4 linked regions of the Arabidopsis thaliana genome follow. The protein of the gene in region 1 interacts with the protein of each later gene in a pairwise test. Each region holds a gene or a part of one and is shown in the gene's direction. Other genes may lie near its edges.

Region 1 (3,673 bases):
TTCCATCTAGAAAGATATATTTAGATGTGTTGCAATTTCACTTTTCATGATAGGCACAGTCTTTATGTATATTTGGATAAAAACTGGGACATATCTAAAAGTAATGTTTTACGATAAATACTATCACAATTTAAATCGAAAATTATCCTTCAAAACGAATATCAATATGTATTCATTGAGAGATTTTAAAACTTAGGGATTCATTTGTTGGTACTAGCGTTTAAGTTTTCATAATTAAGAACTACGGATGTATACATAGATATATGATAATTTTATTTTCGTAGTAATTGTTATGATAATCTTTGTTCTTTTGAAGTCAACAACATATATTATGCGAATTTTTAAACTACATTATATGTTTAGCTCACTATTTTATTTTGAATATCTCATAAGTATGTATATATACTTACACATTGTTATAGTGAGTGTAAAAAAGAGAGAGACAGTTTAGTAATGATTGAGTATGCAGCTCGTGGGCACATTATTAAATTGAATGGTATGATGGATATGCGCAGACACTGTCTTGTGTGAACTCAAGAATCGATACAGAACGACGGCATTAAAAAAAAAGAAAAAATTCAATATAAGACGAAAATGATGATGGAAAAAAATTCTTTTATTTTTACCAACGAAATGTATGCGATATGAACTAGTAGTATTTAATTCACTGTGTGAATTAGTAGTAATATTTAAGCATGTGAATATGTTTGTGTACGTATTGTATTGCCACAACAAAACAGCATGTCGCAGCATTGATTTCATTATCACCTAACCGTTAAATACGTCATGGCCCTAGACTTAATGTATTTTAGACTTAATGTATTTTATACCTTATTTTGATATGTGTACGGTCGACCCCCTCACAAAATTGAAATATTACGACTATGCATTGAAAAACTATACACAACTACATTGTCAAATACTGATAAGATCTTAACACAGAAACACATATTATCACTAATAATGTAACGTGACAACATTACATTGCTTTACACACATTTTTTTTAATCTATTTAAGATGATTGGATGATATTGTCATTTTTCTCTATAAATCTAAGATTTTTATTGTCTTTATAATCTAAATTCGCAATTATTACAACAAAAAATTATCAAATCTAAATTTATTTTTAAAATCCACGATAATTATTCTCATTCTATTTCATTGGAAACACCAACCAATTATTTTAAAAAACAGAAAACATATTAATTAAAAAATTGAATTCAAATTCTATTTACCATTCTAAAAAAAAAATTATGCACTGATTCTGTAAACGTTGACACCGTTAACGTAGTCGTAGATATGCACTGATTCTGTAAACGTTGACACCGTTAATGTAATCACATCGAATAAAAGACATATGTTGATCGTGTAAAGGTATAAGATACTCGATCTATAACATCGTTGTCAAATTCCATGTTGCATATACATTATATTGCTTTACACACATTTTTTTATCTATTTGATCGTCTGTGAATTAATATGATAATTTGATGGTATTATTGTTATCTTTATAATATAAATTCGTAATTATTATAACAAAAAATAAACAGTTTTATCTTAATATCCACAATAATTATTTTCATTCTCGTTGATTTATTGGAAAAGCCAGCCAATTATATTAAAATAAATAAAAACAACATATTAATTCAAAAAAATTTGAATTCAAAAAAATTTATCATTCTAAAGTAACTAGATATGCACTAATTGCACTGATTTTGTAAACTTTGAAACTATTAATGTAATCGTAACGAATAAAAGACACGTATCAATCGTGTAAGGTATAAAATACTCGATTTTTAACGGCGCCGTCAAATTCTCCGTTACATATTAAAAGAATTACTATTCCTACTTCACACGAGGCTTTATATGAAAATGACAAGAGTTAATCGTGGCCGTTAACAAATTACGATCAAAACGAAGATCGTCACCATCTTATAACAGAATAACCCAAATGGTACGCGAGCTAGAGACTCTCTAGTAGAGAGAAAGAGAGAGAAACACAAACACGCACACATAACGAGTGATTTTAGAGAGAGATAGAGATCTGGAAGGTGACGTCGTAGGAGATTATGGCGGCGGTTAGGAGAAGAGAACGAGATGTGGTTGAAGAGAATGGAGTTACGACGACGACGGTGAAACGAAGGAAGATGGAGGAGGAAGTGGATTTAGTGGAATCTAGGATAATTCTGTCTCCGTGTGTACAGGCGACGAATCGCGGTGGAATTGTGGCGAGAAATTCAGCAGGAGCGTCGGAGACGAGTGTTGTTATAGTACGACGGCGAGATTCTCCTCCGGTTGAAGAACAGTGTCAAATCGAAGAAGAAGATTCGTCGGTTTCGTGTTGTTCTACATCGGAAGAGAAATCGAAACGGAGAATCGAATTTGTAGATCTTGAGGTGACAACGAAAGCATTATTTATCGAAACTGAATTTTGATTTACAGATTTTGAAATTTTTGAATTCGTTTTTCCAGGAAAATAACGGTGACGATCGTGAAACAGAAACGTCGTGGATTTACGATGATTTGAATAAGAGGTTTGTTTAATTTGTTACAGATATTAAAATTTTGAATCAGTAACAAACATTTCTATAAAATGTCTTTGATTTTTTTGTGTATAGTGAGGAATCGATGAACATGGATTCTTCTTCGGTGGCTGTTGAAGATGTAGAGTCTCGCCGCAGGTTAAGGAAGAGTCTCCATGAGACGGTGAAGGAAGCTGAGTTAGAAGACTTTTTTCAGGTGGCGGAGAAAGATCTTCGGAATAAGTTGTTGGAATGTTCTATGAAGTAAGTTTTTTTTTTTTGATTCAAATCTTTTAATCGAATTTTTGAAACTGATAATGAATTTGTTGTTAGGTATAACTTCGATTTCGAGAAAGATGAGCCACTTGGTGGAGGAAGATACGAGTGGGTTAAATTGAATCCATGAAGAAGACGATGATGATAATGATGATCATTGTTTTCACCAAAGTACTTATTATTTCTCTTCTGTAATAATCTTTGCTTTGATTTTTCTTTTAACAAAATCCAAATGTAGATATCTTTCTCTCGAATAATCAATAACATGTAATTCAACTTTTGTTTGTACTTCCTTGAGGTAATTAATTAGATTCGTGTTTTTCTCGATTAATAAACTATAAGTTTATAACTCTAAGAGTAATTATAATTGTTACTGAAAACTAAATAGCTTCTATTATTTCTATGTATCAATTATCATACAGTATTTGATTTTTTTTTTTTAACAATGAAAAGAGAGTGTAGAGCAGAACAAAAAAGGGTCACGGCTGACGTGGTAAAGGAATATAACTGTTTATTGATCAGGCTTTTTCAGTAAAAAAGTTACTATTTTATTCTCACTTGGATTGGATTGTAGGTGCTACTCTAGTGATTAACTACGAACTTGTTTGTGCTTTACAAGTTATTAAACTAAAATATTGTACTATCTCCTTGCATTTTACAAATTTAGCTATTTGAAATTATATATTTTTTAAAAATAAAATAGCTTAAATATACACTTCCAGTTTTTCCCTCTCAATTTCTTTCAACAAAGTAACTATTTTGAGTTGTATTATTTTATTTTCCTAATTTATCTATCTAATATAACATGGATATTAGATATGGTTGGTGTACCTAACGCCTATAATTTATACTCGATTAGCAACAACCAAAAAAA
Region 2 (4,031 bases), 230 kb from region 1:
AAACTGAAAAATGGTATCGTAACAATGTATAAAATCGCAAAATTACCAATCTAATGGAACATATTGTAGACCTATTTGGCCATTACACATCAACAAAAAAAACATAATAGAACAAATGGAATATTTTTTAAAAAGACTATGAACAGACAACATTTTAAAGCGATATGATAAGGAATTTCTTTGTTTTTCTTTTTTATCTTTTTAAAAGATAGTATGAAATGTGTAAGAAATGAGAAGTCGCTATTAAACTTTGTACAAATCTCAGACTCTCCCGCTTGTTACCAATGGCCTCTTCCTCTCGTGATTAACTTTTCCCCATTCCTTATTTATTTGTCTTTTGCTTTTTCATTTTTTCAATTTTTTTTTACCACACATTGCTTTCTTTCACAATCGATAAAGATCATCAATATATATACTATGTGTTAAAAAAAAGTAACAATTGTTGCTTTGTTAACCGCGTCTAGGTCGATAGGAACGCAGTAAACGTGACAACAGGATCATTCACTCTGCTTATAATAACACTTTTACTACTATAGATGTAAAATATGAAATTATCTTTCAGTTTACTATTGAGTACTAAATATTTAAACAGAAGCTTAATTTATTATACATTATGTTTTGTACTACTAACTATAATGTTTGTTCCACAACTATTATAAATAGACTCAGTTATATGTATAAGTTGCATTTATGTATCTTGAACGTTAAAGTTTGGTACAACTTTTGTTACGAGTACATCGAATACATTTACATTTTAATCGGCTTTTTTGGGTCCTCAGTCTTTAGATTTTTTAGCATATAAAGCAGTGAGAATTAAACTTGAAATGCTCATCAAGATCAAGCTATTATATTTAAAAATTAACTTTATAGGTTACATAAAGAAAAATTAAGTAACGTAGTTTACTAATAAAGCGCAAGCGTTTTAACAGAACGAGGTCCTTTTTTCCTAGTTAATTATGTTTTTGTTTTTTCTAATGTTTATGTCAGCTCGTTGACCATATAAAGCTTCCCATTCGTCCACGTGGATTTTCCTCTGACATATATGACCCCACGGGTGATTTTATATGATTATATATATCAATTTGAATCTTCTTTTTCCGTATATCATAAATTAATTCACCAAAAAAAAAAGTGAAAAATTTGCTACTAATAAATTACGATTAATAAATCTTTAAATCGAATAAAAACACAATGACAGTGACTCTACACATTACGATATTTTCAGAGTTTATGTAAAATTATGTTGTATTAACCAAAATCAAAGTACTAATGACGAAAAAAAAAAAAAAAAAAAAATCTTTTCACTTGTAATCATCGATGCTTGAAACCGAAAGGTGACAAATATAATTAATGGTCAACGCATTTATCCACCACTGAAACTTCCACCACCACCTCATAAGCGCGTGAATCACACGCTCTAACAGAGAGTATCTTTACTCGCATCCAACGAACAGGGATCAAAAGCGTGTAACTACACATTCAATAAGCACGTGAGTATAAGCTTTTTTGTAAATAGTACGTATGTTTTTAAAACTAAAGATTTTAATTAATTCATAGTTATGATTTCAATTTATAATTAATTTATGGAGATAGGAAATTAATTACAAAAGAAAAGATTTTTCCATTTCTGTGAATAAAACAAAGAAGAAGTACGGTTTCATTAATTTTCTCGCGCGCCAAACATCCGAATATTAAAAGACAAAATAAAAGCAGAGAGAGAAAATAAAAATAAAATTAAAAAAAAAACATAAAATCTTTTAATAAAAAAAAAGAAAAAAAAAAGAGGACAAGCGTGAAATAAAACCCTTCACTTTCTTTGGCATTTGTCTTCACTTCTTTTATCTCTCTTTCTATCTCACACAGAGTGAAGAATCCAGAGAGTCTCTAATGGCAGAATGAACAAAGGAATTAGCAATCATCTTCTTCTCGGAAGAGAAAAATCATGGCTTTAGAAGAGGAGGAAGAGAGTCAAAACGCACCGTTTTGTGTTCTTGATGGTCTTTTCTGTGAGGAAGAGAGTGAGTTTCACGAACAAGTAGATTTGTGCGACGAGAGTGTTGAAAAGTTTCCTTTTTTAAATCTGGGTTTGTCTGATCATGATATGTTGTGGGATGATGATGAGTTATCAACTTTGATTTCGAAACAAGAACCGTGTCTTTATGACGAAATCTTAGATGATGAGTTTCTGGTTTTGTGTCGTGAAAAGGCTCTTGATTGGATTTTTAAAGTGAAATCTCATTATGGGTTTAATTCATTGACGGCTCTTTTAGCTGTTAATTACTTCGATAGGTTTATTACAAGCAGGAAGTTTCAGACAGATAAGCCATGGATGTCTCAGCTTACTGCTTTGGCTTGTCTGTCTTTAGCTGCTAAGGTTGAAGAGATCCGTGTTCCTTTTCTCTTAGATTTTCAAGTAAGTTTCTCACTTTTTCTCAGATTCAATTTTGTGAAATTGCAGATTTTTGAGACTTGTGTTTGGTCTTTTTGTAAGGTGGAAGAAGCAAGATATGTCTTTGAAGCTAAGACTATACAGAGAATGGAGCTTCTTGTTCTGTCTACTCTTGACTGGAGGATGCATCCTGTGACTCCAATCTCGTTTTTCGATCACATTATTCGACGATACAGCTTTAAATCTCATCATCAATTGGAGTTCTTGAGTAGATGTGAATCTTTATTACTCTCCATTATTCCTGGTAATGTTTACCATTAGGTTTAGATCTCTTGAATCTACTTGATTTTGTTGTGGATGCTAAATTTTCTGTTCTTGGTTTCTTTTCAGATTCGAGATTTCTGAGTTTTAGTCCTTCTGTGTTAGCCACTGCAATAATGGTCTCTGTTATTAGAGATTTGAAGATGTGTGACGAAGCTGTATACCAATCTCAGCTCATGACTCTACTCAAAGTTGATTCGGTATGTGGTTACGGTGTCTTTGATCAATAAATGCCAATGTGATTAGTGTAAGGTTTAAGGATCTAGAACTGATTTTATCATCATTATACTTGAAACAGGAGAAGGTAAATAAATGCTATGAGTTAGTGTTAGACCACAGTCCAAGCAAGAAAAGGATGATGAATTGGATGCAACAACCCGCTAGTCCGATCGGTGTGTTTGATGCGTCATTCAGTTCTGATAGCTCGAATGAGTCGTGGGTTGTGTCTGCTTCTGCTTCAGTGTCGTCTTCACCATCTTCAGAGCCTTTGCTCAAGAGGAGAAGAGTGCAAGAGCAGCAGATGAGGCTATCTTCAATAAACCGAATGTTTTTCGATGTGCTTAGTAGTAGTCCTCGCTAATAATGTCAACAACCCATCAAAATGTGTCGGTTTAGTTACCTAAAATCTGTTTCCATGTTTTACATATTATCGGCTATATGGTTCTCGGTTCTTGTGTTTATGGACGGTTGCAAATGGTGTACGTTTCGTTATTTGATATTCTAAAAACAAAGTTCTTTTACATTAAAAGTTTCCGCTGGATCTTACCTTTTTCATGGCTTGATGATGATCTAATTTCGTCTCACAACCTCTGCATTTTGCAAGTAGAAAGATAACAGTCAAAGATTATACACAAACATTACCATTACACTATTGGCATTGGTCTAAAACATCACATACATGATTGTTTAGTACTTAGTACAGGTATGTGGAAATTTGTCCTTTGAAGTTTGAATTGAAGAGACAACGATTGAGTTAGTTGGATGACCAATAGTGTTGGACAACTAGAGAGTTTGTTAGCTACTCCTCCAAAGTTTTAAGTTTTATTTTTAAAAAATGTTCTAATAAATTTTGTTCTATTTTTGGGAGGTTTGATTTGAGAGGAAATGCAGAGAGACCAACACTTGGGTTGGTCCAAGTACTTGTGTTCAATTCAGTTGTGGTGAAAAGCAAAACAGGTTGGGATATACACATAACATTACGTACACATATCACTTTATCTACTTCTTGCCATTGCTATGTCATGTCATAACATTAAATAAATATACCTTCCATGAAGAGTCTTGTTATCACACAGGACCAAATAGCATTGAAGAGATTCAA
Region 3 (4,603 bases), on another chromosome or scaffold:
TGATTTCTAAAACTTAGTTGGATAAGAATATATTGTATGAACAGGAGTTTATCTTTACAATTTTTTAAGACTCCGACTGATAATGAAGAAACGAGAAAATATGAAAATTGTAAGAATAACAGATATAATATAGAATGAAATTTGATTTTTGAAAGTAAGATAATCGTTTTCAAGGAAAAATTTTCTTTATTATTGCAATGAATTTTGTGTAATTCATTTGCTTCCTACAAAATACGACTTTGTTAACTAAAATGACAATGAGCTAATGTTTGATGTTTCATTCCATAACATGACTATATAGTAGTTGAAAGTTGAAACCAGTGGCTCGATGACTATTTGCCATGTAACCTCAAGCAAGAAATTCTCGTGTGGTGTTTTCAAGCAACTCGTCGCGTAGCTAGCTTTATTTTCATGTGGTAGAAAATTACTAATTACTATTTATAAATAAAAAATACTAATCTCCTTACAAATATACTAATGTAGAATCTTTGGAGGTGATAGAGCACTAGTTATTGACCTCAACTTGCAAGAGAACAAAAATAAATACTTTTATAAATATTAAAAACCTTATAGTTAAATCTTATAAGTTGGGTAAAACAGAAGACAGTATATTTGGGTAAACTAAAACCATATTAAAGAAAGACCATAATGTGTAAAAAACAAAGACCATATTGTGTAACAAACAGAGACCATATTTTGAACTTAAATGAGTATATGACGTAGTTCTTATACAAATATACAGTCTGCTTTTTCATTCAAAGGTATATGCAATGATGATAGATATTGAAATTATTGTGTCTAAAAGTGACCCTAGAATCAAAAAACAGTGGTCAAAGATCTACCAGAGCAAATGGTTCAAATATCATTATAGATGGATTTTGAGTCAAATTTTACATTCAAAACTTCTTTTTATTTGTGGCATGAATTTACATTAGTTTTTTTGGGGTCATTTTTATTTTGTTCAATGTCGGATATTGAAAATAAAATATCATGATTCAGCGTATATTTCGATCATAATATCAAATTGCATTATTTAGTCAAACAATTTTGTTAAAAAATATTTCCTAAGATTTATAGAATTCAATACTGTTTTAAACTATTAGTCAAACTATATATATTTTACTGTTATTAAAACAAGGAATAAAATTATGAAATATCAAAAAATATGTAAAGACATATACTATGATTAAATCTTTCAACATTCAATATTTTACCATTGAATATACAAAAATGTTAACTGTTAACTATGCATACAAGACCGAAATACAAATTCCAAAAAACTTATGGCGCAAATCTGATACCGAACTACCAACGATATTCACTCGATTCATCATCTAAAAACTAAAATACAACGAATAAAACCAACTAACTTTTCAATTCTCACCTCAATTTCCTACCACATTTTCATAATTTTCCAACTTCTCACATTTGTTACCATGATAGTCAATTCACTTTCTAAAATCTTCAAATTTTATCTTACATTTTTCATCTTCTTCACCATTATATATAGCCTCTCTCCTTCTCACACAATCTCCATCTTACCCTAAAAACCACATTTCTTAACTTCCTCAATAAAAAAAAGAAAAGCTTCACCCTTTAATTTTACCCTCAACCCCAAAACAAAAACCCCTTCCTCCACGAGGGCATACAGAAATATCAAAGACCCAATCTTTCTTTCACTTCCCCAATCTCTAGATGACAATCTAACGATACAGTTCCTTTTAGATCGATTACCAAATACAAAGGATCAATTTTTCTTACATGAACACTCTGTTGTAATGGCAGAGGAGAATCTAGAACTGAGTCTTTTATGTACAGAGAGCAACGTTGATGATGAGGGCATGATTGTTGACGAAACTCCGATTGAAATTTCGATTCCTCAGATGGGTTTTTCTCAATCGGAGAGTGAGGAGATTATCATGGAGATGGTGGAGAAGGAGAAGCAGCATTTGCCAAGTGATGATTACATCAAGAGACTTAGAAGTGGAGATTTGGATTTGAATGTTGGAAGAAGAGATGCCCTCAATTGGATTTGGAAGGTCTGATTCTCTATTTGATTTTGATTTCTGGTTTTGAAATTTGGATGTTGATTGGTTTTGAATGATCTGTATAAGCTCAAATTGTGAAAAGCACAATCCTTTTGATGAATGATCTGAACATAAAGAGTGTGTTGCTATGTCTATTAGATCAGAGGCTTATGCAGAACAGATAGAGAGGTTTTGTCTTAAATCTGTAAATCTGATGCTCAATTTCCGATCTTTCACACTTCAATTGACAATAGATTCACTTCAGTCTCAGAGTTTTAGATCTCTAATTGATCTTTTCTTCTGTTCTGATTACAACAGGCTTGTGAAGTACACCAGTTTGGACCATTGTGTTTTTGCTTAGCAATGAACTACTTGGATCGATTCTTATCGGTTCATGATTTGCCTGTAAGTTCACATTGGTTAAACTAAAAGATTGATAATGTTTTTAGCCATTCATCATCAAAAAGTCTCATTTTTTCGCTTCTTGATTTGTGATTCTTCTTGTAGAGTGGCAAAGGTTGGATATTGCAGTTGTTGGCTGTGGCTTGTTTATCATTGGCAGCCAAAATTGAAGAAACTGAAGTTCCAATGTTGATAGATCTTCAGGTTCTCCTCTAAACTCGTTAAATTGTCGAGATGTTCTATTCGACCCGACAATGTCTTGAATCGATTGCGGTTTGATCACATTTCGGAACAGGTTGGAGATCCTCAGTTTGTGTTTGAGGCTAAATCAGTCCAAAGAATGGAGCTTTTGGTGTTGAACAAATTGAAATGGAGATTGAGAGCAATAACTCCATGCTCATACATAAGATATTTCCTGAGAAAGATGAGTAAATGTGATCAAGAACCATCCAACACATTGATATCTAGATCATTACAAGTGATAGCCAGCACAACCAAAGGTGAAAAAAAAAGTCTTTCCTTTATGTTTTATTTTCTTGACCACTTTTGTTTTTGTGCTTTTTTGGGTTTTGTTGTTTTTTTCACTTTTGCTTTTTATGATTTTGGATTAAAATGGTGGTTGTGTCGAGTGAGCAGGTATTGACTTTTTGGAGTTTAGACCTTCTGAAGTTGCTGCTGCTGTGGCACTTTCTGTTTCTGGAGAATTGCAGAGAGTACACTTTGACAACTCTTCCTTCTCTCCTCTTTTCTCACTACTTCAAAAGGTAAAAAACAATCCACCAAACATCTCAAACTCATAAATCTATTGTTTTTTAATACCAAACACACACACACATATAAAGCAGCCTTTGGTGGTTCAATTTCAAGGAAATGCCAGTTGTGGAGAAGTTTGAACTCATTAAAGATGACACATTTATGTGTATATATGTGTGTGCACTAACTTATTCATTGCATACACATAATATGTGTAATTATAAATCCAAAAAGTAAAAAAAAAAAAAAAAAAAAAAAGAGAAACCGGTTAATGGGTCTGAATCCTTTGACTTCCAAAACTAGTGGAGAGTAGACCAAAGACCACTTTAAATTATATTATTCTCTAGCTATGTGTCTTGTGACTCTCTCTGTCACACACACACATTCACTGCACAGCCTCTAGTCACATCTAAAACCAATCTGCCCCCACAAAAACATGTTTGATTCTGATTTGATCTTGCAATCCAAAACATCAGCCTGGTTTCCATTAGTTGTTTTTCTACACCAGAAAAAGCTGAAGAGATCTTTGTGTGTTGTGTTTGTGTTTGTGTTCAAGAGACAAAAACAAAAGTGTCAAGCTTTAAACTTTGTGGTTCCTTTTATTGCAGGAGAGAGTGAAGAAGATAGGGGAAATGATAGAGAGTGATGGCTCAGACTTATGTTCACAAACACCCAATGGGGTTTTAGAAGTATCGGCTTGTTGTTTCAGCTTTAAGACCCATGATTCTTCTTCTTCTTATACACATCTTTCTTAAAAAAAAAACTGTTTTTTTCTTACATTATTATAATCAGTATGATGTCTGATGAGAGGTTGAAAAAAGAGGACAATAAATCAAAGCAAAAATTTTTAAATAAATAAAAGTGTATTAATTTCAATATTTGATTTGTTTATAGCTTTGGTAATACTGAACAAATAAAATTATAAGAATTTTTTGTTGGCAGGAAATAGCAAAAAAGAGAAAGAAAATAAAACAAAGGAAAAACAGAGCTTTTTTTAATTGGTTCCCGCCAAATAAATATAGCGGGAAAAAACCGTATCGGTTCTGTTGAGCGTTAGAGTTGACCTTTTTTAATTCAAACGGTGCCGTTGTGAGATAAAGCGCGCATCGCACTAATGGGCTTAGAATTGGGCCCACGAACAGAAGTCTTTGACTTAAAGTTGACGTAAAGAGACCAAAGCTAGGTTGTGCTTTATGGAGCTTTTGCGTTTTATACCTTTTATCAACAAAACTCCAAAATCCCAATATTTTATTGAAAACTTTTTAACAAAAAATAAATAAAATGATTGGACTCCAGGTCCACTAAACCTCTAGGATCTGTAACTATGAAGAAAATGGGCCAATGCTATATTCATTAAATTTAATCATTTGGGTCTACCATTGTCGCATGGCATACTAGCAATTTGATGATCCTGAAATAAA
Region 4 (4,207 bases), on another chromosome or scaffold:
TGTAGTATTATATTTGGGGTTTTTATTTCCAATTTAGGGTATATATTTCCACTATTTAAAAGTTTTTTGATTCAATTACTTCTTTTGCAATAAATATCTAATATTTTTTTATTCTTTAAAGTGGTTCAAAATCTGGCATTTGTTAAAAAGAAACAAAAAATTGTCACTCTTTCTCTATGAAACATATTACTATTATATTGTTTAAAAAACAAGAAACTATATTATTATCAACACTTTTCTGTTGTTTATTAGCTAATACTCCCAAAACATTTTTTTTGGACAAATACTAATACCCCCAAAAACTAATAAGCTGTTTTTTCTTACGTTACAAGCATATAAATTCTTATGTTTGTTAGGTCAGTCAATGTTTTCTTTCATTTCGTTCATATCTAGAGTTTCAAAGGCCTTTGCATTTCACATTTTCTACATAAAATTAATGTTTTCTTTTCCGTCTAAAAATAGACCAGTCAGGCTTTGGCAGTAAAAGATCAAAGTAAAAAAATAAAAACAAAAAGTTTGTTCAAATGGCGTTTTCACATGGCAGTTTGTTCATTGACTTCTCAATTTTTCTTTATTGACTTAAAAAAAATAATCTGAATATATATGTTGGGAATTTCAAAACCTAACAAAAGGTAAGTACAAAGACTTAAGGACAAGGAAAACCAAGCTGTCACAACCTAATTAGTAATTTAAAATGTGTGATACAATGATGATTAAAAACAAAACAAAGACTTAAAAAGATTTCTAAAGTTAATCAATGTTTGTAACTGTTTGGACGAGATTCCAAAGTGACGAATCTTTTGATACATAAAACTGTACATTACATCAGCTCTATTTATGAGTAAATGACAACTTTATGTGGTAAATAAAATGGTTTAACGATAGTATATGTTATTATCATATTTAATCTCCCCAGCCTTAGTATATTTTAAAGTTGGGTCTTACCAAATTCATGAAAGAACTTTAACACACACAAAATTCATAGAAGAACTTTTTTTTAGCATGATACTAAATTTACATGATCTAAAACTCAAACAAAATGTAATATCTATATATATTATGCTGGTTTTTTTTTCAATATGATTTTTTAATTGTTTGGTACTTGATATTAATACTAAAATGCAATTTTATTTATTTATTGAATTATTGACTTAATTTGTAATAAAATCTAATAAAAACATTACACGTATTAGTGTATTACATATTTTTTAAACAACTAAGTAATAATTTACGGTTATAAATTTTTAATACAAACGGCTCTGTTTATGAATATTTGTAGTTTAAGGTTTTTGCATACAAATTAAGAAAACATACAAATCTCATTTAATTTATCTATTTCTTATAAAAACACCATTAATTACAACTAATCCAACCAATAAAAAAATATGATGCAAAATATAATTGGTTAAAAACTATTAAATACATTTAATGTTTGCATAGAAAAGTGAAAACAACATTTATATTGAAAAAAATAAAAAATTATTGAACTACACTTAATTAAAAACAGAGGATTATAGAGAATTTAAGAGAGAATATTGGATTTTTTTTCCTTCTAATATTGCAAAAGAAGAATCTCTTGAAAAAGATTTGATTATCTTTGATAAAATCTTAATTCTTACTATCAATGAGAAAAAATCGAATAAAAAAATAACCAAAGTGGTAGTAATAAATAAATGTGGAAAATCTCTCAAAAGACCGAAAACCATCTCTCTCTATCTCACAATAAAGACAACTTCTCTCTTTTAATGTCTCTCTGTCCCTCTCTCTTCTTCTTCATCTTCTAACACCAATTCAAGAAAGAAGGAAGCTTAAGAAGAGTCTATCATCAATCAATGGAGTTTCATCTTGAACATCCTCTCTCACATTCTTCACTCCACAATAACTTCAACGACGACACAGACTATGAAACTTTACCACACTCTCTCTTCCTCGTCGAGTTTCAACACATGCCTTCTTCTCATTACTTCCATAGCCTCAAGTCCTCTGCTTTTCTTCTCTCTAATCGAAACCAAGCCATTTCTTCAATCACTCAGGTCTTTTTAACCAAAATTATTTTCTGGGTTTAGTTCTGAATACTGAATCGTTATCGAAAGACTTAACTTTATTTTAATTTGTAACTGAACAATCGCAGTATTCAAGAAAATTCGACGACCCATCTCTGACGTATCTTGCTGTGAATTATCTAGACAGGTTCTTGTCTAGCGAAGATATGCCGGTAAAAACAGAATCTTCCGACAGAATCTGTCCTTTGTTTCATCTGAGTTTTGACTAAATTGTTTTGTCAACAGCAGTCAAAGCCCTGGATTCTTAAGCTCATATCTCTCTCTTGTGTCTCTTTGTCTGCAAAAATGAGGAAACCAGACATGTCTGTTTCTGATCTTCCGGTAACTTAAAACTCATGAATCTTTATAATGTGAATGTGTTTTAAAGTGTTGATAAGTGTCTGAACATTGGATTTTTTTCAGGTGGAAGGTGAGTTTTTTGATGCTCAGATGATAGAGAGAATGGAGAATGTGATTCTAGGAGCTCTTAAATGGAGGATGCGCTCTGTTACTCCTTTCTCCTTTTTGGCCTTTTTCATTAGTCTCTTTGAGCTCAAAGAAGAAGATCCTTTACTACTAAAACATTCCCTCAAATCTCAAACCAGTGATCTTACTTTCAGTCTTCAACATGGTAAATACAGAATTGCTTTTCTTCAATCACATAATCACAATATGCTAAAATCTGTTTGAAAACGCTGCAGATATCAGTTTCCTCGAGTTTAAACCATCGGTGATTGCAGGCGCGGCACTTCTCTTTGCTTCTTTCGAGCTCTGTCCTCTACAGTTTCCATGTTTCAGTAACAGAATCAACCAATGCACATATGTAAATAAGGTAAAGAAGTCTTGAACAAGTAAACCATCTCAAATCGAGCTTTTTTTTCATCGCGGTACTAAGCGAGCATTAAACCGTGGTTGCAGGATGAGTTAATGGAGTGTTACAAAGCAATACAAGAGAGAGATATTATAGTTGGAGAAAACGAAGGAAGCACTGAAACAGCAGTAAATGTGCTTGATCAGCAATTCTCGAGTTGTGAAAGCGATAAGAGCATCACAATCACAGCTTCTTCTTCACCTAAGAGGAGGAAAACTAGTACTCGTCGTTACTAAGCTGAAAAAGGTGGTTAATGGTCAAACATAATCGTCAGATGAAATCAATCACTTAGCTACTTCAAAAACCACTTCTGGTCCCCTTATGAAAATGACACTTGCTTCCTTTCCCCTTATCTCCATCCATCTTCTTCTGCTTCAAAAATAAACCATTTCTCTCTTCCTGGAAGACAAGAGAGTGATGAATGATCAAAGACAAAGTCTCGGGTTCTGTTCCGTTGCTTGTTCCTTTGGACCACAACACAAAACTCAAAAAATTCAAAAGAAAAACAAATTACCAGTCTGTAGTATTTATCTATCTATCTACCTATCAATCATGTTCTGTATTTACAGTTTTGGCTTGTGGAGTTAAGTTGTTTCACTTGGGGGGAATAATCAATAAATATTGTTCTTGTGTAGTGTATATAACCCTATGGTTATGTTATTTATTAATGAACAAATGTGGTCACGAGATAACAATGAATTCAATTTTCAGGAATAAGATTTTGTCTTATGAGACTTCGTTATCCGACTTATATGGATCCAGTTGCCAGAATCTCTGTTGCAGGCAGGCAATATGATACTCTTTGGACCACTTTACACAGTCTTTAAATCATTCAATTGCTTTTGTTCTTACTGTAAATGAATCCCTTGCACTAACCCATATTAGGCCCACTAGCATCATAACGGCCCAAGATTGTGATATACAAGATCCATTCAAGCCCATTACTTAATGAAAACAATTGCAAGACTCAGACTGTGCTGAAAAGAATGTATACCATGGTTTCCAATTTCAGACATTATTGAGAAGCTATAAGAATCAAAGCTTCTGATGTATGTAATGCACAACAACAAAACACAAAGATGAAGAAGATGAATAAAGGGAAGAAAGTGTGTATCTATCACATCTTCATCGTTACCTCGCTAAGGAAATCGCAGGCAATGAAAGAGGGAGAGAGAGAGATCAGATAGGTCCGAGAGTTCCTTCACTTCGACTTCTTCGCATGGAGAGCTCAGTTCTCAGACTAGACAATCTATCACCAGTAGCAACGTGATAATTCTCGTAAGCAGCTGGAGAT

What was found.
Region 2: the proteins of KRP2 (region 1) and CYCD3;3 interact in a protein complementation assay, tested with the Arabidopsis thaliana proteins (one large-scale study listed by BioGRID).
Region 3: the proteins of KRP2 (region 1) and CYCD4;1 interact in a protein complementation assay, tested with the Arabidopsis thaliana proteins (one large-scale study listed by BioGRID).
Region 4: the proteins of KRP2 (region 1) and CYCD6;1 interact in a two-hybrid assay, tested with the Arabidopsis thaliana proteins (one large-scale study listed by BioGRID).

What each region holds. Positions count from the first base shown.
Region 1 is NC_003074.8:18,798,438-18,802,110, forward strand, and holds KRP2 (KIP-related protein 2), read left to right. Parts: upstream 1-1,868; 5' UTR 1,869-2,070; coding exon 2,071-2,397; intron 2,398-2,473; coding exon 2,474-2,535; intron 2,536-2,619; coding exon 2,620-2,787; coding exon of another isoform or gene 2,788-2,791; exon of another isoform or gene 2,792-2,856; coding exon 2,857-2,929; 3' UTR 2,930-3,158; downstream 3,159-3,673. UniProt on the Arabidopsis thaliana protein: Binds and inhibits CYCD2-1/CDKA-1 complex kinase activity. Regulates cell division which is crucial for plant growth, development and morphogenesis. May regulate early lateral root initiation by blocking the G1/S phase transition.
Region 2 is NC_003074.8:18,564,581-18,568,611, reverse strand, and holds CYCD3;3 (CYCLIN D3;3), read left to right. Parts: upstream 1-1,777; 5' UTR 1,778-1,942; coding exon 1,943-2,413; intron 2,414-2,491; coding exon 2,492-2,693; intron 2,694-2,779; coding exon 2,780-2,910; intron 2,911-3,008; coding exon 3,009-3,290; 3' UTR 3,291-3,478; downstream 3,479-4,031.
Region 3 is NC_003076.8:26,140,926-26,145,528, reverse strand, and holds CYCD4;1 (CYCLIN D4;1), read left to right. Parts: upstream 1-1,535; 5' UTR 1,536-1,778; coding exon 1,779-2,039; intron 2,040-2,186; coding exon 2,187-2,216; intron 2,217-2,345; coding exon 2,346-2,432; intron 2,433-2,534; coding exon 2,535-2,633; intron 2,634-2,724; coding exon 2,725-2,929; coding exon of another isoform or gene 2,930-3,003; intron 3,004-3,065; coding exon 3,066-3,193; coding exon of another isoform or gene 3,194-3,229; exon of another isoform or gene 3,230-3,416; coding exon of another isoform or gene 3,417-3,419; exon of another isoform or gene 3,420-3,790; coding exon 3,791-3,937; 3' UTR 3,938-4,059; downstream 4,060-4,603. UniProt on the Arabidopsis thaliana protein: May activate cell cycle in the root apical meristem (RAM) and promote embryonic root (radicle) protrusion.
Region 4 is NC_003075.7:1,431,317-1,435,523, reverse strand, and holds CYCD6;1 (Cyclin D6;1), read left to right. Parts: upstream 1-1,662; 5' UTR 1,663-1,832; coding exon 1,833-2,033; intron 2,034-2,131; coding exon 2,132-2,215; intron 2,216-2,288; coding exon 2,289-2,384; intron 2,385-2,465; coding exon 2,466-2,673; intron 2,674-2,743; coding exon 2,744-2,874; exon of another isoform or gene 2,875-2,960; coding exon 2,961-3,149; 3' UTR 3,150-3,680; downstream 3,681-4,207. Other genes in the region: AT4G03260 (Outer arm dynein light chain 1 protein), read right to left, coding at 4,093-4,207.